Canis lupus familiaris: one gene and its partners. The protein of the gene in region 1 interacts with the protein of each later gene in a pairwise test. Links are inferred from orthologs where the notes say so. Each region holds a gene or a part of one and is shown on either strand. Other genes may lie near its edges.

Region 1 (3,500 bases):
TGGCCCATAGGCCACAGTTGCCATCTCCTGGTCTAAGATACAGTGAATACCTCACAGTAGATCATGAATATCTCAAGATACAGAGTATTAGCAATAAGATTTCCTCCTGTTTCTTAATGCTTTTTTTGAGTTGTCACCTCATTCTCTGATGTCCAGCTAACTACTCTTGGCTATACGGCAAGAATAGCACAAAGCCTAACTAAAAGGACTACAGAAAATGTTTGTAGATCATACTGTACAGATGTCTACTCTCTTCTACAGTAGATGGGCTGATGAATCTTTTTTTTTGGGGGGGGGGCTGATGAATCTAATCTCTTTCTTTTTTTTTTATTCTGAAATTGACCCATCACCTCATAGGAAACCCAGAGGTTCTGTGAACAAATCCATACTGCCATCAAGGAAATCATTACAGTATACTATTCACTTCCCAAGGATCAAGGTAAGCCAATGTATATACAGAAATGTTTGGTTATAGAGTATATCTTTGCTAATATGACAGCTTCTGTCCTGAAACTTTTACCTTTTCCTCAATTTGAGCATGTAATGTAACTTTCTCCCATAAAATGCACTCAAGGGTAATTCTATAACATCAGTGACATCCGTAAATAAGCCTTTATGCTAAGGTATGGATGCTGTATTACCATCTTCCCTGCTTTGCCTGACTGTAAGGCTTTTAATTCTTACTGGCTACCCCATCTCTAACTCATTCTAACGACTATGGATGCTGGATCTATAGGGGCCTCCCCAGTCTCCTCCACCCATATTACATCCCACCCTGTTTCTGAGCTCCCTTACAGGTTAAATGACCTCTGTCCCTGCCCATAAATTAATGCTTTGATTATGATTGTGCCAAAATTATAAATGAATACGTGTCTCCTGGATCTTCAGGGTTAGTCACAGATGGTTTAAACTTCAAGTGTTTCATCCACAGTTATCAAGAGACCATTAACCTTAATGAATATATACATGCTGTCATGGAAAGATTTTGTTTCAGATCTTTCTCATTCAGCACTCAGTGGGAGGAACAAGAAAATGATATGGGGAAATACATAAGACTTGAGTTTTGTGTTGGCACTGCAATTCAAGCATGTGGGTGCATGTTACCTCAAGTTCTAAAGGGCTTAAACTCTTGAGAAAGCAGATGGTGACTTCTGGAAAGAAGACCAGGCTACTTAGTCTTTGGGTTTCTTTAGGAATCACCCTGAGAAAGCTGGTACGGAATGCCACTCTGGACATCGTAGATGGAATGGCTCAACTTGTGGATGTGCTTTTCATAACTCCAGCTCAGAGGTAGTGATGCCATAGTTTGGGTTGTCAGTTAATGGGATTCCTTGCTTCAGGGAGGGGAAAAAACCTCATTTCAACAAGAGTTACTAACAGCTGTGAATGATGACTCGCAGGAAGGAGATTTTTAGGAAAGAAGAACCTTGGTTATTGATATATCCTTATTGATTTCCTTTCTCCAGCCTAGAGAACAGTGACCTTATTTCCTACAACAGTGTCTGGACTGCATGCCAGCAGGTACCTCGAATACCAAAAGGTGGGTAAGAACTGGAAACGGGCCATTGACTCTGCTGGCCAAGGCAGACAGTTCTCTCATATCTCATTTCTAGTTTTGTGACATGTAAGTATTTTACTTTATAGTTTAGTGGAATACATAGAGTTTATCACCAATATCAAAAGAGAAGTATTAATATTTTTTCTTAGTGTTTTTAGTTCTTATACTTTTTTTAGCCCTCTTTCTGTAGCCCTATATAGTTGAACAGATGTGGTTTGTTCTCCTGGTCCTGCCCCAGGAGCAGTATTATGGGACACACTGAAGCACTTAGGAGATAGTGCCAGCTAGATCAAAAACAGTGTTCGTCCAAGAAGACCACAATGAGAAACATCAAGGGACCATTTTGTTTCTTCTTGTGGTGAATGATGAAAAGCTTTTTAACTCCTATCTGAGTACCCAGAGGATGGGTGTTAGAAAACTTTTACTTTAGACCACGCTCTTGTTGACTGTCCTGGGTACTCTCCTCAAATGCGAACACTGTTGGTTGTCATTTGCAGGCTTGACAGAATTTTGAGGTTTCTTCTCTAATTCTAGTGCTTCTGATTTTTCACTCATAGATAACAAAGCTGCAGCCCTTTCAATGCTGACGAAGAATGTGGATTTTGTGAAGGATGCACATGAGGAAATGGAGCAGGTGAGGGGACAACTCCATGATAGATGAGACTATAAAGGAAGGAGATGCCCTGGGCATTGATTCAATAAATCCCATCCTCACTCCTGGATTTCAACTCCCATCTTCTAGCCCATGCCACTGTGTGTTTTAGTACCGTTCCTCTCTGTCCATTACTGGGCTAGGAGAGTAAGAACGGAGTTTAGGAAGTGATTCAAATTGGTGGCCGTTGGTAGCTGGCTTGACGTTTTTGGGATAGCTTAGATATGATGCTGTAAGTATAATAGGCTCTTTTTTTTTTTTCTTTTTGGCATGTCTTAGGCCGTAGAAGAATGTGACCCATACTGTGGCCTCTTAAATGACACTGAGGACAACTCTGACAACAATGGTGATGAAGAGAATGATGGGTTGGGGTATCCAAACAATCGGGACTTATATTGGTCAGAAGAAGATCAAGAGCTCATAATCCCGTGCCTTGCACTGGTGAGAGCATCCAAAGCCTGCCTGAAGAAAATCCGGATCTCAGTGGCAGAGAATGGTAAGAAGGATCAGGTGGCCCAGCTGGACGACATTGTGGATATTTCTGATGAGATCAGTCCTAGGTAAGCAGGATCCCCACTTGAAATGTGAGCATCAGCATATAATATCAGCTTGTGCTGTCACCCCAAGCTTTTCCCAGTTTTTTGAAAATTTTCAACCTACAGGAAAGTTGAAAAAGTATTGCAGTGAACATCCATATAGCCTTCATCTAGATTCACCTGTTGTTCACATTTTTTTTTTCCAATATTGGCTTATTTCTCTATGGATAGATGTGCTATTTTTCTCCTGAACCATTTGAGAGTAAGTTGCAGACATCAATGACATGTCACCCATATATAGTTCAGCATGTATCTCCTAAGAACATTCTTATTATTACATCCAAGAAATTTAACATTGATTACAATAATATTTATTTTTTTTTTTCTATTTTTATTATTATTATTATTTTTTAATTTATTTTTTATTGGTGTTCAATTTACTAACATACAGAATAACCCCCAGTGCCCATCACCCATTCACTCCCACCCCCCGCCCTCCTCCCCTTCCACCACCCCTAGTTCGTTTCCCAGAGTTAGCAGTCTTTACGTTCTGTCTCCCTTTCTGATATTTCCCACACATTTCTTCTCCCTTCCCTTATATTCCCTTTCACTATTATTTATATTCCCCAAATGAATGAGAACATATAATGTTTGTCCTTCTCCAACTGACTTACTTCACTCAGCATAATACCCTCCAGTTCCATCCACGTTGAAGCAAATGGTGGGTATTTGTCATTTCTAATAGCTGAGTAAT
Region 2 (3,193 bases), on another chromosome or scaffold:
TTTGCAGCTCGTGGCCCAGGGGTCTGAGGGCCGCAAAGGGAAGCCCCTCCTGGGCCGTGGCCTCCTGGCACCACCACGCGGGCCGGCTTCATATTCTGATTGATACTTTGCTGTTTAAGGGTTCTCCCGGGGTTCGGGAAGGCGGGCGCCGGTCCGCCCCTCGGCCCTGGGCTCCCCCTGCCGCTAGCATCCTGAGTCCTGCTTCGTGCCGTGTGTGGGTTCCAGGCGGGTGGCAGCGTGGGGTGTTCTCAGCCGCCGGACCCGTGGTCCACGAGGGGCTCTGGGTGCCGTCCCGCTGTCACGGGGTGGCCTCGCGGCCCCAAGTGCCCACTCCCTGCCCGCTCCCCCGTCATGTGGTCAGTGAGCGGCACCTGGTCCTCTCCACGGTGGGCTGTGGGTGGGGGAGCCGTCCTGTCTGCCTGGGCCTGCGTGTCTCGGAGGCTCTTTTCTCTGGGCGGAGGATACGTTTAGTTTTTCTGAACAAAAGGTGAAAAAAGAAGAAAGGAGAAGAGAACGTGGTGAGCTCCCCGGCTCCTCGTTTTGGGATCGCCACCTCCCAGCCGCAGGGTCCCCGCAGCCTGTGCTGCCGCTCTGCTGACGGCCCGCCCCCGTGTCCCCGCAGCACCCACGCGTGGACCCTGAGGAGCTCTTCACCAAGCTGGACCGCATCGGCAAGGGCTCCTTTGGGGAGGTTTACAAGGGCATCGACAACCGTACCAAGGAGGTGGTGGCCATCAAGATCATCGACCTGGAGGAGGCCGAGGACGAGATCGAGGACATTCAGCAGGAAATCACCGTGCTGAGCCAGTGCGACAGCCCCTACATCACCCGCTACTTCGGCTCCTACCTGAAGGTGCCCGCAGGGAGGGGGCTTGCTCTGTGCTGGGCTGCGCTTGGGTACGTGCCGCGCCCCGCCGTGCCTGGCGCCCCCCCCCCCGCCCCCTGAGAGGACAGTGCTGATGCCTAGTGTTCCGCAGGGTCAGAAAATCCTGCTCAGAGCCTGGGCTGGCGACCCCCCGGGGGCCAGTGGGGAGCAGAGGTCTGGTCTGAGGGGCGGGAGGCCTAGGCAGTTGAGCGCAGACCCAGCTTCACAGCTGCCCCCAGAAAACAGCCCTGAGGCCCAGGTGGGCGTGTGGGTCAGGAGTGGGGTCTAATTGCTCTGAAGTGGCCAGTGACCCATTGCTGGCTGGCGGCATCTCTCCCGGAGCTGGGGCAGCCCCCGTGGGGCAGGCGCTGGGGAGCCGTGCCAGGGCCACTCTGGGACCCCTGCAGCCGGAGCCTGAGGCCAGCTCCTGGGGGGCTGCCCAGGGGAAGGGGGCTACCTGGGGTGCAGGTCCACAGAAGCCGAGGGCCACCTGGGCCTCCCATCTTCCCGGTCTGGTTTTTGATGGGGTCTCGGCACAGTGGACCCAGCCCCTGGACCATCTGCAAAGTGGCTGCGTGGGGGTGTGATGGGAGGGGGCTGGATGAGGCTGCTGGGCCCTTGCATGGGGGTCCCTGAGGGGCCAGGGGCCCGAGTCCGCCCTGCTGGGGAGAGTGTGCCCTGGGGGCCCGGCCGTGCCCCTTTGCTCTCCGCCACGTGCTGATAGGTGTTTTTCTGGTCCTAGAGCACGAAGCTGTGGATCATCATGGAGTACCTGGGCGGCGGCTCCGCGCTGGACCTGGTGAGGTGTAGGCCGCAGCGGGGGGCAGCTTGCCGTGGGCAGGAGCGGACCGAAGGAGGTTGCTGTGGGCGCTGTGCCGCGGCAGCCCTGGACCCGAGGACCCCTGGGTGCCTCTCCTCTGCTGTCTTGGCGTATCACGTATTAGTTAGGAGCCATCTAAGCCAGACGATGTGTGTTTGTGGTCCTGGGCCCACGGGCTGGTTGGCGCCCCCAGGCAAACAGGCCGGGTGCTGCGGCTGGGACCCCGCTTTGCAATGAAGAAGCAAGCCGCGTACGCGCTCCCCGCTCAGTGTGCGAAGCTCCATTTATTTCAGGAGTTGAGGGAACAGGAGGCCCCTGCACGCGGCAGGGCCCCTGCCCCTGGTAGAGCGGGGTCAGGTCAGGGCCCGGGCGAGGAACGTGGAACAGCGCAGGAGAAGGGCCGGGGTGTGTCGGTGGGGGTGCTGAGCCTGCCCCCCGCTCTGCCCGCAGCTTAAACCTGGCCCCCTGGAGGAGACCTACATCGCCACCATCCTGCGGGAGATCTTGAAGGGTCTGGACTACTTGCACTCAGAGCGCAAGATCCACCGAGACATCAAAGGTCCCTGTGCCCCCCATCCTGCCCCTAGAGTGCCACGGCGTGAGGTGGCAGGGAGGGGGGGTGCTGGGCGCTGAGGGCCTCCTGTCCCCGTGCGATGAGAACACTAGCCTTGCACCTTGTGGGAGAGGGGACCTCTTTAAACCGGAAGTGTGGACCTGGGGAGGCGTGGGGGGGCGTGAGGGCAGGGGTCACGGTCCCCTCTGCTGGCCATGCTGTGGCTCTGCTCTTGGGTTTGTCATAGAAGGCAAACGCCGGGAAGGCCCTGGAACCCTGCCGGGGGTGCCCACGGGGGCTCCTCGCACTGGCGGCTGCCCGCCTGCAGCGCCTGTGGCCCCGGGTCTCTGGCCCGTCGGCTGGAGAGGAAAGCCAAGGTCCCGGGAAGAGACGGCCACGCTTCCTCAGGCAGCCGTGTGCGGGCCGGGGCCTGCGTGGTCCTGAGGGTGACACGTGCTGTCCTGTGTTGAGCAGCTGCCAACGTGCTGCTCTCGGAGCAGGGGGACGTGAAGCTTGCAGACTTCGGGGTGGCGGGGCAGCTCACGGACACGCAGATCAAGAGGAACACGTTTGTGGGCACGCCTTTCTGGATGGCACCCGAGGTCATCAAGCAGTCGGCCTATGACTTCAAGGTGGGTGCGGTGGCGGGTGGGAGGGTGGCCGCGGCACGGCTCGGGGAGCTCCGGGTAGCAACGGTGCCGCATGGCTCTCTGTCCAGGCCGACATCTGGTCGCTGGGGATCACAGCCATCGAGCTGGCCAAGGGCGAGCCTCCGAACTCGGACCTGCACCCCATGCGCGTCCTGTTCCTCATCCCCAAGAACAGCCCGCCCACCCTGGAGGGCCACCACAGCAAGCCCTTCAAGGAGTTCGTGGAAGCCTGTCTCAACAAAGACCCTCGATTCGTAAGCCCTGCTCCCTGGGCCGGCTGGGAGGCGGCTCTGCGGCGGGGCTCC
Region 3 (2,403 bases), on another chromosome or scaffold:
CATAGTGCCCCCTGTAGCATGACTACAAAAAGAAGGTGCTAGAAATTCCACTTAAATTCCTGGAGACCAAGGATTATGTCTGCCATGTTCACCACAGTAGCCCCAGTGCCCAGTGCTGGATATTTACTGAAGAACTGATTTCATTAGTGGAGAAACCAAGGTAAGTAACTGGTTTGGCTGACAGTTTTATTCTCCTGAGTGTTCTTTTGATTGATTGATTTTTAAAGATTTATTTTAGAGAGAATGAGGGTGGGCAGAGGGAGAGAATCTCAAGCAGACTCCAAGCTCAGCACAGAGCCTGACATGGGGCTCAAACCACGATCCTGAGATCACAACCTAAGCCAAAACCAAGAGTCAGATGCTTAACCAATTGTGCCAACCCAGGCCCCCACTTCATCATCTTTTTTAAAAAACTTGCCTCCAAGTGTTGGTGTTGAGTCAGCTTTCTTCTATAACCCCCTCCTTTTCTCCTAACCAAATTTACTTTTTGTTTTGAGGCATCATTCGAATTCTGTTGCAAGCCACAAATGCCTCTCCTTCATCTGAACTCCCGGAATTACTTGGGCCCTAATCATCTGCCAAGGATAGGCCATAGAGGGAGGTAGCACTTGGCACTGGACAGGCAGAAATAGAGAGTAGAGGGAGAAGGAGGGACATTCTAGGAGGCACAGCATCTCTTTAGGGAAGAATAGGAAAGCCTTGGTGTGGCTCTAGGTAGAGGCTGTGGGAAGGGGAGGGTTAGTGGGAAGTAATGGCAAGCAGCCAAAGGATCATGTAACTTTCCTGCTCAAAACCCTCTGATGGCTTCCCACCTCAAAGGAAAAGCCAGTCTTTCCAAAGGCCTACAAGGCTGTCTACTTCTCTTGCTGTGCCTCTCCTCTGACCTCTACACACCTCTACACACACTATACCCCTGCATTGTTCAGTCCATTGCTGGCATCCTAGCTTCCTGGCTGTTGCTCAGACACCCCAGGCACATTATCACCTCATAAATTTTGCTCTGTTCCTTCTGCCTGGAATGCTCTTCCCCAAAGTCTCTGCACCACCATTTTTGGTGAGGTCCTTCCCTGCCTACCCTATTTAAAATTGTAAATCCTGCTCTGACGTACTCCATTCCATCCCTGTACTGTCACAATCTAACTATGTAATTTACTTAATCATCATCCACACCCTCCAACCCCAAATGTAAGTGCAACGAGGGCAGGACTTTGTCTTACTTACCACTTTACCCCCAATGTCCTGGGCCTGGCACAGAGCAGATGCTCAGTATGTATTTGCTGGGTGGATGACAGAAGGTTGGACACACAGAACAGATACATGGGAGCCAGATCAAAACAACAGGTGGGGCCTGCTCTGAGATGGGCTTTGGGGCAAATGAGAGGAGGGATCAGCCAACCAGATAGGAGGTAACACATTCAGCTGGTCTGGAGGAGGAGCCCCAGATCTAGGCCAAGACAGTGGGCGTGGATGGTAGGCAGGACTGGTGTATACCATCCAAACCATCCCTTCCCACCTATGTACCAAGCAGGTTTTAGGAATCCATCTATAGAAATAAAAGCACCAGTATAGAGGCTTGATGCTCAAGAATGTTTATTGCAGCATTGTTTGAAGTAGTAAAAAAAAAGGGAAGGGGGAAAAAGGCTGAATTTCTGAAATTAGGAGACTAGTTGAATAAAATAAATAATGTATCCATTCTAAGAACTAGTATATAGTTTTAAAAAATAAGTTATATATAAATGGAGTGATCTGGAAGGTTGTCCATGATAAATTGTTAAGAGTCTATTACTGAATATAATAGAGTATGATCCAGTGTTTGAAACACGAATGTCATATACACCCATGTATCTTTGTACATGTTTGTATTAACATTAAAAAGTATGGAACAAGACCAACAAATCCTAACAATTGCTCATTGTGGGTGGGGGTGGGGGATTGGAGGAGAGAAGGGAAGACTCTATACTGTTTGACTTGTTTTAACAGGCAGGTATCATTTTTATAAATTTAAAAAAAAAAAAAAAAAAAAACAGGTAGGTGCCCCTCACCCAAACCTTCCTTCCCTAGGAGGAGACACTCTGCCCCTACAGTGCAGCCCGACATCCAGCCAGAGGGTCTTGCCTTCCAAACAGACAACCTCGACCATCTACCTGCCTCCCATCCTGGCGGCCCGGCCCCACCTCCGGCCTGCCAGCATGTGCCAAGCCAATGGGGCCTACAGCAGGGAGCCATTCAAGCCTCAAGCCCCCCGTAAGTGAGAGGGCCTAGAGAGCCCCTCTTCCACCTCCTTCCCCAAGGGGCCAGGGGTGGGGCAAGCAGCCCACAGGGCAGGTGAGCAGGTGTCTAATCAAATCCTCATGCTGTTTATACTAATGTGCTTGAACCTTGGCACTTGTTAGCTTGGGGGTG
Region 4 (3,126 bases), on another chromosome or scaffold:
CTAACTCCCAATGTGGTTCCTACCACCTGTTGAGGCCACTGAGCTGGCCTGTCTTTTGTTCCCTGCCTCTAGATGTAGATAATGGCTACTACACCGTCAAGTTTGACTCACTGCTGCTGAAGGAGGCCGTGGTAGAGGGGGACAGCATCCTGCCCCCGCTGCGCACAGACCCCACGGGATCCTCAGACTCAGACAGTGGCGACCCAGATGACCCCAGCTATGCCAGAGGTATGGCGGCAGTTCAGGATCCCAGAAGCCAGGAAAGTGGGGCAAGGGGAAGTGTCGGTAGCAGTCACCCCGAGAGGCTTCCGGCTGGCAGGGCCTGTGACCCTCTCACCACATCCTTGGAGAGTATGGGGGCAGTGAGGCAGACTGTGTTCAGAAGGGGCACGTGTGACTGAGGACACGTGGAAGCCCGCCACAGGCATTGGGGGCAAATGAGAGCGAGCGTGTGGAGTCTGGGGCGGGCCCTGAGGCCTGCAGATGGAATGACCCGGCCCTAGTCTTCAGGGAGCACACGGGATGATCGCAGCTCCACACCCCGCAGGCCGAAGCCGTGTCCACTGAAGCAGGGCTGGCCGGTCGGCGTGCGAGGGACCGGCGGGGCATGGGGGCAGGAAGGAGCGGCTCCTTCCAGTGGTCTCCACGTGGGGACACCTAGTAGCTAGAGGGGAGGCTGTGTCGAGAGAGCCGGGGCAGGAGCTGTTCAGGAAGGGTAACTGGGGGGGATCCCTGGGTGGCCCAGTGGTTTGGCACCTGCCTTTGGCCCAGGGCGCGATCCTGGAGACCCGGGATCGAGTCCCACGTCGGGCTCCCGGTGCATGGAGCCTGCTTCTCCCTCTGCCTGTGTCTCTGCCTCTCTCTGTCTCTCTCTCTCTGTGACTATCATAAATAAATAAAAATTAAAAAAAAAAAAAAAAAAAAGAAGGGTAACTGGCTGAGGGCGTCCAGCCCTCCCAAGGGGTCAGGTAGGATGGAGAGGGGAGGCGTTCCTGTGGAATCTGTCCGGTGAGGTGGTAGTTCCTGAACCCCCATGTCCACGGTGGTGGAGGGGAGGACTGAGCCGCGAAGTCGTGGACTTTCTACGGGGGGAAGAGGGGAGCTCACCGCCTGAGAAGGTGGGTCAGGGGAGGGCTCGGGTGGGGAGGTTGGCCCTGCGGTGGGGGGGCTGGAGCAGACTGCGCCAGACTCTGCCGTGAGTCCTGCCTTAGTCACGTGCCGGTGACAGGTCTGGGCAATCACCGGAGAGCCTGAGGCTCAGGGCACCACGACCCTGGCCCGGAGCTGAGCTCTCGGGCTGACACTGGCTGGAGCCCAGGGTGCTCCCCGTCCAGCGGGGCCGAGCCACTGCCCTGTTTCCTACAGTGGTGGAACCCAGTGCTGCCGAGCCCGGGACCTGCAGCTCCGCTTTCGCTGGCTGGGAGGTGCACACACGGGGCATCGGCTCCAGACTCCTTGCCAAGATGGGCTACGAGTTTGGCAAGGGTGAGTGTGTGCCGCCCTGGGGAGGGGAGGGGGCCGCACAGCGGGGCTCGGGTCCAGCAGCGGTAGCGCCAGCCCCGTGTGCCCCCAGGTCTGGGCCGGCATGCCGAGGGCCGGGTGGAGCCCATCCACGCTGTGGTGCTGCCTCGAGGGAAGTCGCTGGACCAGTGCGCAGAGATCTTGCAGAAGAGGACCAAGGGCGGCAAGGCTGGCGCCCGGAGGCCCCCGAAAGGCCAGGGCAGTGGGGGTGGACGCCCTCCCCCTCGTAGCGTGTTTGACTTTCTGAACGAAAAGCTGCAGTGCCGGACCCCGGCGGCGCTGGAGGCTGCGGCGGCCCCCGCAGGGAGGAGGAGCGGGAAGGAGATGTACCATGCCAGCAGGAGTGCCAAGCGGGCCCTGGGCCTGCGACTCTTCCAGACGGAGAAGAAGATCGAGCAGACCCAGCGGGACATCCGGGGCATCCAGAAGGCTCTCGCCCGAAACACCGGCCGGTACGTGTGGGGCGAGACTTGGGGCAGGGGGCGGCCCCCTGGGTGTCGATGCCTCAGCCCTGCCGTGGGCCTCCTGCCCACTTTCCATGCTGTGCCTTCTCGCCTGCACGTGAGCTGGAGCGCGCGCTGACCCCAGGGTGGTGGCTGTCCGAGGAGGGTCTGGTGCTTGGAGGAGGAGGGCCGTGGCCACGGGTGTGGGGGCCTCGTGCCAGTGGCCCAGCAGCTCGTGCTGAACGGCAGGCTCCTCCTCAGGCACAGTGTGACGGCGGCCCAGCTGCAGGAGAGGCTGGCGGGAGCCCAGCGGGAGCTGGGGCAGCTCCAGGCCCAGGAGGCGGGTCTGCAGCGGGAACAGAGGAAAGCAGACACCCACAAGAAGATGACCGAGTTCTAGAGCCCTGTGTGCCGTGGACGGGGCTCAGGGACCCCAGCTCCCGGGTGCCCTCGGGGAGACCAGCTGTCACCCGACTAGATGCTCCTGGAAGAGGGGCTGGCCTGCTCCCAGGCTACACCCCACGGCCAGCGGACACTGCTGAGAGGACATGGGGCTGCAGGGCTCCCTTCTGGACACTTCCTTGCCACTGAGCCCACCCGCCAGTGTTTCGGGGGGTCTCCTCAGCGAGGACATTAAAGTGATTGTGTTGTGGTGTCTTTCATTGGAGGCTCGGCTGGCTTGTGGGACCTCGGGGGAGAGGGGTCCCTGCGCAGGCCCGTGGGCGCCGGCGGGAGGGCCCTGCGAGAGCCCGCTGGCCCCTGTCCGGAGGCAGGCGTCCTCTGCTGTCTTGATGGGGCTCCGCCAGCAGCTCCGAGCTGGGTCGCAGCTTGGGGGCCGCCCATGTTGCCCAGCACCCGCAAATGTGTGGGACTGAAGGGGTCGTGGTCGGTGAAGAGCCCTTGGGAAGCCCTGCTGCTGAGGCCGGAGGAAGCCCCAGGTTCTGGAGGCCTCGAGGCTGCCCCGGCCCGTGACCCACGCCGGCCCAGCTCATGGTGGGTGGAGACGCCCGGAGGTAGGCTCGGAGCAGCGCTGGCCCGCCGCACACCCCAACCAGGCAGCGTCTGCACCCCGCGCGGGCTGCAGCCAGTGGGTGAGGCTGTGATGGCGACGGCTGAGTGGCTGAGGGAGATGCAGGAGATAGATGCACAGCAGGAAGTGAGG
Region 5 (4,018 bases), on another chromosome or scaffold:
TTTCTTGATTTGGGGGCAGAGAATGAAAGTCTCTATCCAGTCATGGTGATGTCAGCATCATCTGACCTTTGGCCAACACCTTTCTGCATATGTGGTATATACGGAGCAGTGTAAGATCATTATCCAGGGTCCAGGCTGGAGAACAATGTCATGTTCAAACCTTGTTTTTTTACTCATTCGAGAGAATGAGAAGCTTGGGAGCAAGTTACCTAGCCTCCCCAAGCTTCAGTTTTCTCATCAGCAAAATGGATATAATAATAGTACCTAACTCTTGGATATGTTGAGATAATTAAATGAAATAATTGGTAATAAGCACTTAGCATAGCGACTGGCTCATAAGAAGCTCTTAGTATACACTAGTATTCTTTGTATAGAAAATCCTTCTCTTTATAAAACTCTTTATAAGCTTTATTTTAAAGGCTTAAACTCAAAGTAGTTGTATTAACTAAGGGCCTGCTTAAATTGGACTTAAGGGTTTTTTTTAGATGGAAATCTTTGCTGTGGTCAAAGATCACGCTCTAGTGCTACTTCTTATCCATCCTATGAATACAATTTCTGTGCTCTGCTGTAATAGACTGACCGTATTGTCGCCTACTCTGCCTGCCTGGGATATGTGAACTATGCCAAGCCTCCCTTACCTATGAATACTTCCTCACACTGCTTCCCTGCATTTCTCTCCCACAACATATTTGAGGCGGTTATCACAATACTCATGGACATTTTCCTCTCTTTCTTCTCTTTCAATAAGAATTCTTAATTGTGCAGACTCAGGATTGGGAGTGACCAAGATGCCTAAACACACACACACACACACACACACACACACACACACACAGTCTCAGTCTCTCTCTCTCTCTCATTCATGCTCATATAATTTAGTTTGGTATATAGGACTCAATTCATGGGGTCTTTTCCAAAGCATTAAAGACTAAGCACTTCTTAAAAATGTAAGATCGACCAAAAATTTTTTTGAACATCCAAAGAGTACTCTCATTGATCTTTATAAAAATTTTTGGAGACTAAAGGAAACATTATGTAGGGATTTCTTTTGTCCTACTGGATAATTCATTGCCCAGTCCTGACACTGCTTTTCCCCATTGGGTCTTTGTGAGAGTCACATGCTTTGGACATCTTTGAAAAGAATCTTCTGAGGCTTCAACATCTCATTTGAGTCTCCTAAGTCTCATCTAGAAGTGTGTTGAATTGTCATCCGTCACCATGAGCAACAGATTCCTGGGCACCTGGAAACTTGTCTCCAGTGAGCACTTTGATGATTACATGAAAGCTCTGGGTAAGAAATGTTCCTTGTTGCTCTGGTTGAGAAGATCCTTTTTGAGAAGACTGCATGACTATATCCTTCTAACTCCTTTTCTAGGACTCTGGGGAAGTTTGCACAGGCTGAAGTACAATCCTTTCCTGCAATTAATCTTCTATTGTGTCATTCCAATAATTTAGTACACTTTGTGGAAATATTAATAGATTTTAACCTAAGAGCTGCTTAATTGTATGGAACCTCTACTGATTTCACAGGTGGTTTCAGATAAGGTAGTTTCGTATCAGTAAGACTTTGATTTTAGAGGAAAGAAATTTTAGAGGCTTAGTCAACCCATCCTCTGGCTTTCCTGAAGGTTCATTTTATAACAGCTGAAGTTCTCATAAAATAAGTAGTTGAATATACTAACGTTAATAGAAACTCCAACTTAAAATTTTGGTGTTTGACTAAACCAGAAGTTTACACTAATTACTGATGTTAGGCTAACATCAGACCTTCCTGGAGTTGGAGCAATGGATGAAGATGGAAAAATCTAGTTATAAGTTTTATCAACTTTATACTATCTCTAGAGAATGTTCCATGACACGAGGACAATAGGTGAGAAGTATCTTTGGAAATTTCCAGAGCTGTATAAATATAGTAGGAAGAGATTCCAATGATCCTGGTTGCTATGCTTGTCAAAGTGCCTGTAACTTTCCTTACCTGTTCAGAAAGCTTATGAGAAAGGTTGTATTTTTAAGTAAAATGAGCAAAATCATGTCATATTGCCTAGAAAACTACTAGAAATTATGGGGGAAGATCCATACTAACTGGATAGACTTATGGACTTGACTTCATAGCTGAGGAAGAAGCAAAAATACAAGAGCGTCAATGAAAGACTCCGTAATTCTGTCATTTTTCAAGTTTAGAATGCATAAGATCACCTGGGAGTTTAGTATAGTGTACATTTTCAGACCCTACTGCAGAGATCATATATACACATAAAACTAGTTTTTTATACGTATATAAAACTAGTTTTTCCTTCATTTTTTTCTCTCATTTGACATTTCTCCTTTTCCATGTGTTTCTATAGTCTTAGTAATAATAGTAATAAAACCCAAGAGTCTAATTTTGTTTCATTTTTCAAATGCAGAACATTTTTTAAAAATCACATTAACTATGATCATGTATAATGGTACAGATCTTGAAAGGAGATGGGTAGTTTTTTCTACCAGCTAAGCTTAGGGGCCATGACAAAATTTCAGCAACGAGATTCTATTAAGGATGTGAGGGGAATTCTTTTCTATATCCGTAATATACTACTGAGGAGAAGAAATCATAGAATAGTGGGTATCTGTCATAGTCTCATTTTAAAAATACCTGTAATAGTTATATGTAGAAACTAAAATGTCTGGAATGATCCATACAAAAGATTGGTGATTTTCAAGGACTGTGGGGTTGGATGTGGTAAAAGTGGATGACTTGAACTATTTAGGTTAAATGCATTTTTCTTTAAAATCTGCAGACATTATTATTGTAATAATAAAACCTAAAATATTTAAGTCTATGGGCAGGTATTTCCATTAGGTGGTGAAATGTGGGAGGAGGTCCTCAGGAGTCAGTGATACTACCTGCCATCTCCACATCTGAGGCACAACTGAACACAGAATGTGGCCATTCACAGACTCTCTAGGTATAACTCTTTGTCAAAAGAATTCTAACTCTATCTTGATTTTTAGGTGTGGGGTTAGCCACCAGAAAACTGGGAAATTTAGCCAAACCCCGTGTGATCATCAGCAAGAAAGGGGATATTATAACTATAAGAACTGAGAGTACATTCAAAAATACAGAGATCTCCTTCAAGTTAGGTCAGGAATTTGAAGAAACCACAGCTGACAACAGGAAAGCAAAGGTAAATTTTAATGTTTCTCTTCAAAGTTGGCTCATTCTAGGATTTGAGAGGATTACTCCTGTTAGTGTTCAAAAGGGTAGACCACTCTGTTCTATTGAAAATGAATGTGCCTTTGAGGCCCCTTACTTGATCTCAGGATTTTGATTTTGACTCCAATGTTGGGTGTGGAGGCTACTTTAAAATAAATAAAATAGGGGCACCTGGGTGGCTCAGGGATTGAGCGTCTGCCTTTCGCTCAGGTCATCAACCCTGGGTCCTGGGATCAAGTCCCCCTGCATATGTCTCTGCCTCTCTCTCTCTGTATCTCTCATGAATAAATAAAATCTAAATAAATAAATAAATAAATAAATAAATAAATACAACAGAAAATGAATGTGCTTCATGAGACATCTATTATGAAAACAATTCAATAGTGAATGAATTTCTCTGATCAACCAAAATCCAAACAACTCGATTATATGAATTTGTCTTTGCAGAGCATTGTAACCTTGTCAAGAGGCTCATTGAATCAAGTGCAGAAATGGGATGGCAAAGAGACAACAATAAAAAGAAAGTTGGTGGATGGGAAAATGGTAGTGGTAAGAGTAGTTTCACTTCTAAATACAAAATAATGGTATTAAAGAAATGTGTAATATTATTTTCAAGATTTTCTTCTTTGCAATACAAATGGTTAAAAATGGCTAAGTAATAATGTCAGAGTTAACGGTTAGATGATATTTCAACCATGAAGACTCATCTATAAGTACTTCAAGTATTGGTCCAAAATTTTAGAAAGAACGCCTAAAAATAATGGTAAAGTCAAAGAATATGGATAAATCTCACCAGTTTGGACTTACAAAGAGAAAAGCAAGTCT
Region 6 (3,981 bases), on another chromosome or scaffold:
TAGGCAAATTTGAAACCTGGCTATGATCGTTTGTTGTCGGACCTTGGTCCAACTAACTTTGCCAAGCCTTAGCTTCTCAGTCTGTAAAAAAATAGAAATATCTACATCTAGGGCTGGTCGTTTAGACAAATCGAATTAGGCTAACTAATGCGTCTCGTCTGACACACACGGAGCCCTCCACACAGCTCCTAACATGATTAAATAAGTGAAGTTATCTCAGGGGTTGGGTCGGGGCATTATCTCATAGATACACGGGGAAGAGAACACATAGTTCGAGTCTTATTCACAGGTTGGTATAAGCCGGCATTTTATTTTATTTTTATTTTTTAAAGATTTTATTTATTTATTCATGAGAGACCAGAGAGAGAGAGAGAGAGAGAGAGAGAGAGAGAGAGGCAGAGCCAGGCAGAGGGAGGAGGGAGGAGCAGGCTCCCCTTCCGGGATCCCGAGGTCACGCCCTGAGCCGAAGGCCCACGCTCAGCCGCTGAGCCACCCAGGCGTCCCTAAGCAGGTGTTTAGACAAACTTTTTTTAGAAGATCTATTCTCGAGACAAAGAGCACGCGCGCTCAAGCGGGGCGAAGGGCAGAGAGAATCCCAAGCTGACCCCCCGCTGAGCAGGAGGGGGGCGGGGGGGGCGGTGCGCAGCCCAGACTCCGGGCTCTCGACCTGCGCCCACCCCGCCAGTCCCGCCGCTCGGCCTACGGAGCCACCCGGGCGCCCCTAGCCGGGCACTGGAAAAGCTAGACCTCGGCCTATCTTCGTGTCTCACGGCGTGTTATTAAATGAAGCTCAAAATTAATGGTTTAGAGCTCAAGTTCTTTTATTCCGGGTTCCAGACGGAGCTCGGAGAACCCTGCCTCATAAGGGCAGGTCCCCACAACGTGCGAGGCCTAGCGCTGACTCAGACGCCTACATTTTCAATGTGTGCTTTTACGAAGGGGAGAAAACCGGGTACGTTCAGAGACAGGTCAAGGAGCGATCTCTAGCGAGGGGAGCTCACGTCCCCAGGGAACTAAAAACAGGAAAAACGTAGCGCAGCCCTAACACAAGACTGCAAACCTCCCGAGCTGCCGGGACACTCCCGCACGCCCCAAACCCCGCGCCGCTCGCCCCGGGCGTCCTCCCGCACCCGCGCGCCGCGCGACTCGAGGCTCAGAAGCTGCTGCGGTGCGACAGGGGCGGCGCCGCGGCCGTAAAGCGGCGCCGCGAGACCACGTGGGCTCCGAGGCGACCCGCGGCGCCGGGGAGGGTGTGGGCCCTCCGATGGCGGGTCCCGTGCAGGCCGGCGGGGCAAGAACCCTGGACCTGCTCCGGGCCTTGCCCCGTGTGAGCTTGGCCAACCTAAAACCGAATCCAGGCTCCAGGAAACCGGTAAATGGCTGGAGGCGGTGCGGAAGCGTTGGGGACGGGACATGGAAGCGGCCGTTCGCTCCGCGTCCTTCTCGGGGACTCCTTTCCAGAAGGGGGTTGGGTGCCTTGTTCTCAATTGCACTGAAGAGCGGCTTCCCGTAGGGTCCTAATTCTTAGTTTAGTTTTGTTTTTTTAATTTGTATTTATTTATGATAGTCACACAGAGAGAGAGAGAGAGAGGCAGAGACACAGGCAGAGGGAGAAGCAGGCTCCATGCACCGGGAGCCCGACGTGGGATTCGATCCCGGGTCTCCAGGATCGCGCCCTGGGCCAAAGGCAGGCGCCAAACCGCTGCGCCACCCAGGGATCCCCTAATTCTTACTTTTATATCTTAAAGCACAATTATGTTAACTAGGGCGGAGGACTGAAGTCGCAGAAACTATAAAATGATTGTTTCTATCAAAATTGTATCGAAGGGGCGCCTGGGTGCCTCAGAGCTGTAGCGTTGGCCTTCAGCCCAGGGCGTGACCCCGGGGGTCTCGGGATGTCACGCATCGGGTTCCGCGCCGGGAGCCTGCTTCTCTCTCTGCCTGTGTTTCTGCCTCTCTCTGGGTCTCCGGTGAATAAATAAATTAAATCTTAGGAAAAAAAGACACACGCAAAAAAAAAAGCCCCCACAAAATATTTAAAATGAAATACATTCCCTGGTATCTTTATTTTCATGGGAAAGATTCGAATTGATTGATTATGGTAGATGTCTCTTCTGCGAATCATGAATCCGCTAGGAAAGCTGCTAGTTGATATATTAGCATTTTATTTAATTTTTAAAGGGTTTATTATTATTTTTTTAACCGAATAATCGCTATACCTAATGTGCGCTCTAATTTACAACCAGAGTCGCAGCCCCCCCCCCCCCCCCCCAACCAGCCAGTCGCGGGGACAAACTCCTTTAAAAAAATCACTTGCTTTTAGGAAGTAAGAGGAAGTTAATTTAAGAAAAATACTTTCTTTACTAATTAACGTTTCAATAACGTTATTTACTTGCATAACAATAAAGTATTTACAATTCCAAAATAAAGGTTCTGGAATATCGTATAAACCTTGTTTGTTGGGGATGTTTGATTCTAGGATTTTTTTCCATTGCAGTCTATCATAGAATTTTTTTTTAAGATTTTATTTATTCATTCATGAGAGACAGAGAGACCAAAGACCCCAGGATCAGCCCTGAGCAGAAGGCAGAGGCTCAACCACTCAGTCCCCCAGGCATCCTGTATCATAGAACCTTTATCTCCATCCCATCCTTGGAACTTTGCCTTTAAACATAACTTGGGCTTTGGTTACAAGGATTTGCTACATCTTCAGAGGCAAAGATGCTAACCTAAAAGTAGGGATTAGAGTAAACAATGCTTGGCACAGAGTAGTGTTAGCTGGTACTGGTTAATTGGATAAATGAATGGCATCACAAAAAAATACACAAGTGAAAAGATGAAATACAGTTTTTTAAAAATGCAGATCGTACAAAACTCTTTTCTGTCCTCAGGAAAGACGGCGAAGAGGTCGGAGAAGAGGTAGAAAATGTGGCCGAGGCCATAAAGGAGAGCGGCAGAGAGGAACCCGGCCCAGACTGGGTTTTGAGGGAGGCCAAACCCCATTTTACATTCGAATCCCAAAATACGGGTTTAATGAAGGTCATAGGTAAAGTTGCTTTGCTTTTTCAAGTAAAAATCCCTAATTTTCACTGACAATCACCTATAAAAATAGCTTGATAGAAATTGAAATTCACTTTGTTGTTGTTGTTTTTAAGATTTTTATTTTAAAAAAAGATTTTTATTTATTTATTAGAGACACACAGAGTGGGGGTGGCCAGAGACACAGGCAGAGAGAGAAGCAGGCTCCATGTGGGGAGCTGGATGTGGCATTCGATCCTGGGTCTCTAGGATCACGCCCTGGGCCGAAGGAGGTGCTAAACTGCTAAGCCACAGAGGCTGCCCTGAAATTCACTTTGAAGCAGACTTTTGTTGCCATTTCTCTGAACCATTTTTGTTAATGAAATTTAGGCTGGATTAGCAGGAGGGAAAAAAACCCAGACTTTCTTTGTATTCAGACCTGCAAATGGAGATAATAATGCCTGCTCTTATGGTTGGTTAGAGGCTGAGCAATAATATATGTAAACATCTGGACAATTATAGTCATTCAGTAAAGGAAAACTATGCTTGTTACTTTGAGTTCCATTAATACATCATTCGAATGAAGGGTTAAATTTTTGACAAATTTGTTTGAATGAGTAAGTAAATGCCTAGAGAGGCAAATTATTTTTAATGAAACGAAGTACTAGTTTTGTTTCATTAGCAAAAAGCAATATTAAGTGTTTCTGTTGTACTCAGGAGGGTTTTGTTACATTAGCTAAATCAGGAAAATACAGGGCAAAGTTGATTTGAGTTGATTTGAAGAATTTACAGGAAGATAAGCTTAACTGAGTTCTCCAGTTGTTACTTTGTTTTGTAGCTTCAGACGCCAGTATCAGCCTTTGAGTCTCAATAGATTGCAATATCTTATTGATTTGGGTCGCGTGGATCCTACTCAACCTATTGACCTAACTCAACTTGTCAATGGGAGAGGTGTGACCATCC
Region 7 (4,090 bases), on another chromosome or scaffold:
AGGGCTCGATCCCACAAACCATGAGCCAAAATCACAAGTCAGATGCTCACCTGAGCCACCCAGGAGCCCCCCTAGACAGGGCCTTTTGAGGGCTAAGTGGATATCAGAAGCACAAGAGTTTTTAGAATCTGAGGGAGAAACAGCCCCTAATCAGATCATTTCTCTAATGATGGTGTAATTAAGGGAACTAAGTGGTCTGAGAGAAAAGTTTAGGGAGCACCAAAGGGCTGAGTCTTGGGGGGTCAGGGAAGGCTGCCCAGAGGGGATGGTGCCTATTCTGAGATCAGACGGGATGAGAAAGGTCATGTGGGCCGCTATAACTTGGGTTTTTTTTTTTTTTTTTAAGATTTATTTATTTATTCATGATAGACATAGAGAAAGAGAGAGAGAGAGAGAGGCAGAGACACAGGAGGAGGGAGAAGCAGGTTCCATGCCGGGAGCCTGACGTGGGACTCGATCCCAGGACTCCAGGATTGCGCCCTGGACCAAAGGCAGGCACTAAACCGCTGAGCCACCCAGGGATCCCCTATAACTTCGGTTTGAACCTAAGAACAATAATGCAGTTGCTGAGGGGGTTAACCAGATTTTCAATCTAGGAGACCCTTCTCTGGAAGGTAAAGCTAGCCCGAGGCAGGGACTGAGGAGCGGGAAGCTTGGGGAAGCCAGGAAAGGCAGTGCGGTATCCAGAGGGGACAGGATGCTCGCGGAGACTAACGCGGTAGTTAGGAGAAAGCTGCCAATAGATAAAGGGTCATTTGGGAGGTGAAATAAGGCTTGGCCATGGGTAGAGCCCAGCATGCCTCCAAGCCACGAGATGGGCAGCCCCACAGCACCCCTCTTGTGAGAGGGAAGATAGCACCCGAGACACGGAAGGTCACCATGTGTCACCACGGTGGATAGAGCCTTGGTGTTTCAGATTTCAGGGAGGAGGCAAAGGCAACAAAAGAGCTGAGGGAGAAAGGGCGCCATAGGACAAAAGGCAGCCATGCCTGATGCTGTCGGGAGGCCAGGACTAGACACCTGGCCAGTGTGACAGCCTCAGGATTGAGGGACTTGAAGTCAGAGCTGGGATCGGGATCCTCAAAGCTAGGGCTCAGGCTGGAAGGCGGAGGAGCTGCTAACATCCCCCGACCCAGGCCTGACCCAGATGGAGCTGTCTGTCCCTCTGTACAGACTGAGGACTAGGGAGCAGGATGGAAAGCCAAGCGAGGACATCTCCCCTTTGACAAGCTGCCTGGGACCAGAGGCAAAGGTGAAAGTGAAAGAAGATGCAGAAAGGGGCCAGCCAAGCTCAGGAAAGGTGAAAGCGAAACCAGGAAGCCCCGGACCAGCCAGGCGGGTGCGGGACAGAGGACCCGGCTTGGGCCTTTCTTGCTCCCCGCTGGTCGCACAGAGACCCCCAACCCCTGGACCACCCTGCCCACCTGGAGATGCTGAAGCTGGCGTCAGAGCCCCAACGGGGCTTCTCCTTCGAGAACTGCCAGAGGTGATGGGGGTGATGGTCTAGAGCTGAGCTGCTATGCTCTCCCCGAAGGCCTCGGGCACCGACACTCCAGGGCCTTTATTCCCGGTGGGGGCGGAGGGGCGGCAGGGTGTGCTGGGCGACTTGGGTTGCCAGGCTCCCGCCGCTAGACGCGGGCGAGGCTGGGACGTAGTTGGAGGATGTGATGCGGCCCCAGAACCCCAACCTGGGCCACTCCACTCCGTTTCCAGAAACGCATCCTTAGAACGCGTCCTCCCGGGGTTCCGGATCCCTCGTGCACACAAGACCGGAACCACCATCGCGGGCCTCGTGTTCCGAGTGAGCAGGGACTTGGGCCTGGGGGCTTGGAGGGGCTGCTGGGGGATCCAAAGCCACTGGGCCAGCGACCCTCTCCCACCAGGATGGAGTCATCCTGGGCGCGGATACGCGGGCCACTAACGACTCGGTCGTGATGGATAAGAACTGCGAGAAGATCCACTTCATCGCCCCCAAAATCTAGTGAGAAATCCCCAACCCCGACCCCCTACTCAAGACCAACCCTGCCGCCGGCCCCCCCGCCCCCCGCCCCCGGCCCCTGCTTCTCCGGGCCCCACCCACACCGAGCCTCCACTCGTTCTCAGCTGCTGTGGGGCTGGAGTAGCCGCGGACGCCGAGATGACCACGCGGATGGCGGCGTCCAACATGGAGCTACACTCCCTGTCCACGGGCCGCGAGCCCCGCGTGACCACGGTCACGCGCCTTCTGCGCCAGACCCTCTTCCGGTGCTGGGGCCGGGCTCAGGCGGCCCCGGGGACGGGCGCGGCCGGGGGGCGGGACTGAGGGGAGCTGGGCCGGGCGGGGGCGGGGCGGCCAGAGCCGGGACCGGAAGGGGCCGCCCCAGGAGGAGCCGGGCGGCCGGAAGGAGCGGCGCTGCCCCGGTCGCCAGCACAGGAAGGGGCGGGGCCCGGGCCCGGAGGCGGGGCTGACCACGCCCACTCCCCCCAGGTACCGGGGCCACGTGGGCGCGTCGCTGCTGGTGGGCGGCGTAGACTTCTCGGGACCGCAGCTCTACAGCGTGCACCCGCACGGCTCCTACAGCCGGCTGCCCTTCACCGCCCTGGGTGAGCGCTTCTCCCCTTTCCCTGCGGCCCTGGCCTCGCGTTCGTCCCGCGACTGGGTGGCCACGACCGACCTCAGATGCCCCTCCTGCCCGCAGGTTCCGGCCAGGACGCCGCGCTGGCGGTCCTGGAGGATCGGTTCCAGCCGAACATGACGGTGAGCAACACCTGTCCCCCACGACGTGTTCACTGACGGGAAGCGCACGCGGGAGTTGGGGTAACACACAGGGATCCTAGTAGAGGTCAGGGAGGGCTTCTTGGAGGAGGTGACGATTGAGTGGAGGCCGAGGGGCCAGTGGAATCAGAATGAAGTAGTGCTATTCCAGGAGACGATCATCAGCGCCAGAGTTTGAACTGCCCGGAGAAGTCAAAGCTCAGGACCATGTGAAGCTGAGGGAGGAGGGAACGGCAAGTGGGGTCTGGAGTCCCGATTCTGTTTGAGGTGGGATGGAAGTGAATGACAGGTGTTGCTTCAGAGGCGCCTAAGGCCCGGAAGTGAAAGAGCAGTGAGCTGGTAGTTTGGGGACCGAGACGCATTGGTTGGGGGGACAATCCTGGAAGCAGAACCGTAAGTGTAAGAGAAGTTTGTGAACATGGGACAGTGAGACAGTCTCTGGAGAGAACGAGGCAGAGGCCAGGGCAAGGGAGTCTGGGCTGGCTGGGGGAATAGGGAATAGGGGTCTGGGTAGGAGCAAATGGTAAATAGTCTGGGCTTTGAGATGAGCAGAAACCTGTAGGCTGTAGGCTGAAGGGCGCCAGCAGGGTCCGGCAGGTCTCCCCCACACGTATCGTCACAGCTAGAGGCTGCGCAGGAGCTGCTAGTGGAAGCCATCACTGCTGGGATCCTGGGTGACCTCGGCTCCGGCGGCAGTGTGGATGCATGTGTGATAACGGGGACCGGCGCCAAACTTCTGAGAACATTAAGCTCCCCCACAAAGCCCACAGAAAGGTGGGAACTTGGGAAATGGGGAGACCACTGGGGAGGATGGGGCAGTAGCAGGGCAAATGGGGGACTGCAAGATGGACTATATGATGGGCCCAAATTGAGAGGCTGTCCTTCCCTTCTCCCAGACCCAGCCAGTACTACTTTGCCCCTGGGACAACAGCAGTCCAGTCCCAGACAGTGAAGCCACTGACCCTGGAGCTGCTGGAGGAAACTGTGCAGGCAATGGAGGTGGAGTGAAGTGGGATGATGCTTAGGGCTTGGAACAAGGAGGAATAAACATAGAAAATAGAAAAACACCTAAGCAGATGGCTGTGTCGTTCCTGGGTGGAGAGGGGACAAGCAGCCATCAGGACTCTGGCTAATGTACACCTGCAGGTGCCACTCCCTGCCGTGGCTCCAGTGCCTGGCCTAACAGGTGGCTTCACCCATCACCTCAGGCATCTACTCCTCCGGAACCCCAGCCCTAGCAAGCACGGCAGCTACAGGAGGGGAGCCCCCTGCCGACTCCACACTGCAGAGGTCCCCTGCTGCTCCAGTGCCTTGCTCTTGCCCTCTAGTCCACCT

Evidence for each region.
Region 2: the proteins of CCNDBP1 (region 1) and STK25 interact in binary tests that used the Homo sapiens proteins (3 or more experiments, as listed by UniProt). The two-hybrid records come from large-scale screens. The link is inferred for Canis lupus familiaris from reciprocal best matches to the Homo sapiens genes CCNDBP1 and STK25.
Region 3: the proteins of CCNDBP1 (region 1) and C10H22orf23 interact in binary tests that used the Homo sapiens proteins (3 or more experiments, as listed by UniProt). The two-hybrid records come from large-scale screens. The link is inferred for Canis lupus familiaris from reciprocal best matches to the Homo sapiens genes CCNDBP1 and C22orf23.
Region 4: the proteins of CCNDBP1 (region 1) and ZGPAT interact in binary tests that used the Homo sapiens proteins (3 or more experiments, as listed by UniProt). The two-hybrid records come from large-scale screens. The link is inferred for Canis lupus familiaris from reciprocal best matches to the Homo sapiens genes CCNDBP1 and ZGPAT.
Region 5: the proteins of CCNDBP1 (region 1) and myelin P2 protein interact in binary tests that used the Homo sapiens proteins (3 or more experiments, as listed by UniProt). The two-hybrid records come from large-scale screens. The link is inferred for Canis lupus familiaris from reciprocal best matches to the Homo sapiens genes CCNDBP1 and PMP2.
Region 6: the proteins of CCNDBP1 (region 1) and MRPL15 interact in binary tests that used the Homo sapiens proteins (3 or more experiments, as listed by UniProt). The two-hybrid records come from large-scale screens. The link is inferred for Canis lupus familiaris from reciprocal best matches to the Homo sapiens genes CCNDBP1 and MRPL15.
Region 7: the proteins of CCNDBP1 (region 1) and PSMB10 interact in binary tests that used the Homo sapiens proteins (3 or more experiments, as listed by UniProt). The two-hybrid records come from large-scale screens. The link is inferred for Canis lupus familiaris from reciprocal best matches to the Homo sapiens genes CCNDBP1 and PSMB10.

Annotation. Positions count from the first base shown.
Region 1 is NC_049251.1:10,350,662-10,354,161, forward strand, and holds part of CCNDBP1 (cyclin-D1-binding protein 1), read left to right. Parts: intron 1-357; coding exon 358-439; intron 440-1,193; coding exon 1,194-1,290; intron 1,291-1,466; coding exon 1,467-1,540; intron 1,541-2,115; coding exon 2,116-2,192; intron 2,193-2,489; coding exon 2,490-2,770; intron 2,771-3,500. UniProt on the Homo sapiens protein: May negatively regulate cell cycle progression. May act at least in part via inhibition of the cyclin-D1/CDK4 complex, thereby preventing phosphorylation of RB1 and blocking E2F-dependent transcription.
Region 2 is NC_049246.1:51,486,373-51,489,565, reverse strand, and holds part of STK25 (serine/threonine-protein kinase 25), read left to right. Parts: intron 1-622; coding exon 623-853; intron 854-1,607; coding exon 1,608-1,664; intron 1,665-2,135; coding exon 2,136-2,244; intron 2,245-2,712; coding exon 2,713-2,870; intron 2,871-2,956; coding exon 2,957-3,142; intron 3,143-3,193. UniProt on the Homo sapiens protein: Oxidant stress-activated serine/threonine kinase that may play a role in the response to environmental stress.
Region 3 is NC_049231.1:27,710,968-27,713,370, forward strand, and holds part of C10H22orf23 (UPF0193 protein EVG1), read left to right. Parts: intron 1-1,573; exon of another isoform or gene 1,574-2,061; coding exon 2,062-2,244; exon of another isoform or gene 2,245-2,403.
Region 4 is NC_049245.1:48,113,882-48,117,007, forward strand, and holds the end of ZGPAT (zinc finger CCCH-type with G patch domain-containing protein), read left to right. Parts: intron 1-72; coding exon 73-228; intron 229-1,365; coding exon 1,366-1,485; intron 1,486-1,573; coding exon 1,574-1,973; intron 1,974-2,225; coding exon 2,226-2,364; 3' UTR 2,365-2,626; downstream 2,627-3,126. Other genes in the region: LIME1 (lck-interacting transmembrane adapter 1), read left to right, coding at 2,806-2,977. UniProt on the Homo sapiens protein: Transcription repressor that specifically binds the 5'-GGAG[GA]A[GA]A-3' consensus sequence. Represses transcription by recruiting the chromatin multiprotein complex NuRD to target promoters.
Region 5 is NC_049250.1:29,194,816-29,198,833, reverse strand, and holds the start of myelin P2 protein, read left to right. Parts: upstream 1-1,218; coding exon 1,219-1,291; intron 1,292-2,991; coding exon 2,992-3,164; intron 3,165-3,640; coding exon 3,641-3,742; intron 3,743-4,018.
Region 6 is NC_049250.1:6,005,020-6,009,000, forward strand, and holds the start of MRPL15 (39S ribosomal protein L15, mitochondrial), read left to right. Parts: upstream 1-1,181; 5' UTR 1,182-1,264; coding exon 1,265-1,372; intron 1,373-2,891; coding exon 2,892-3,046; intron 3,047-3,856; coding exon 3,857-3,981.
Region 7 is NC_049226.1:82,145,633-82,149,722, forward strand, and holds PSMB10 (proteasome subunit beta type-10), read left to right. Parts: upstream 1-1,290; 5' UTR 1,291-1,430; coding exon 1,431-1,486; intron 1,487-1,713; coding exon 1,714-1,801; intron 1,802-1,883; coding exon 1,884-1,981; intron 1,982-2,103; coding exon 2,104-2,244; intron 2,245-2,467; coding exon 2,468-2,583; intron 2,584-2,678; coding exon 2,679-2,737; intron 2,738-3,377; coding exon 3,378-3,529; intron 3,530-3,651; coding exon 3,652-3,763; 3' UTR 3,764-3,822; downstream 3,823-4,090. UniProt on the Homo sapiens protein: The proteasome is a multicatalytic proteinase complex which is characterized by its ability to cleave peptides with Arg, Phe, Tyr, Leu, and Glu adjacent to the leaving group at neutral or slightly basic pH.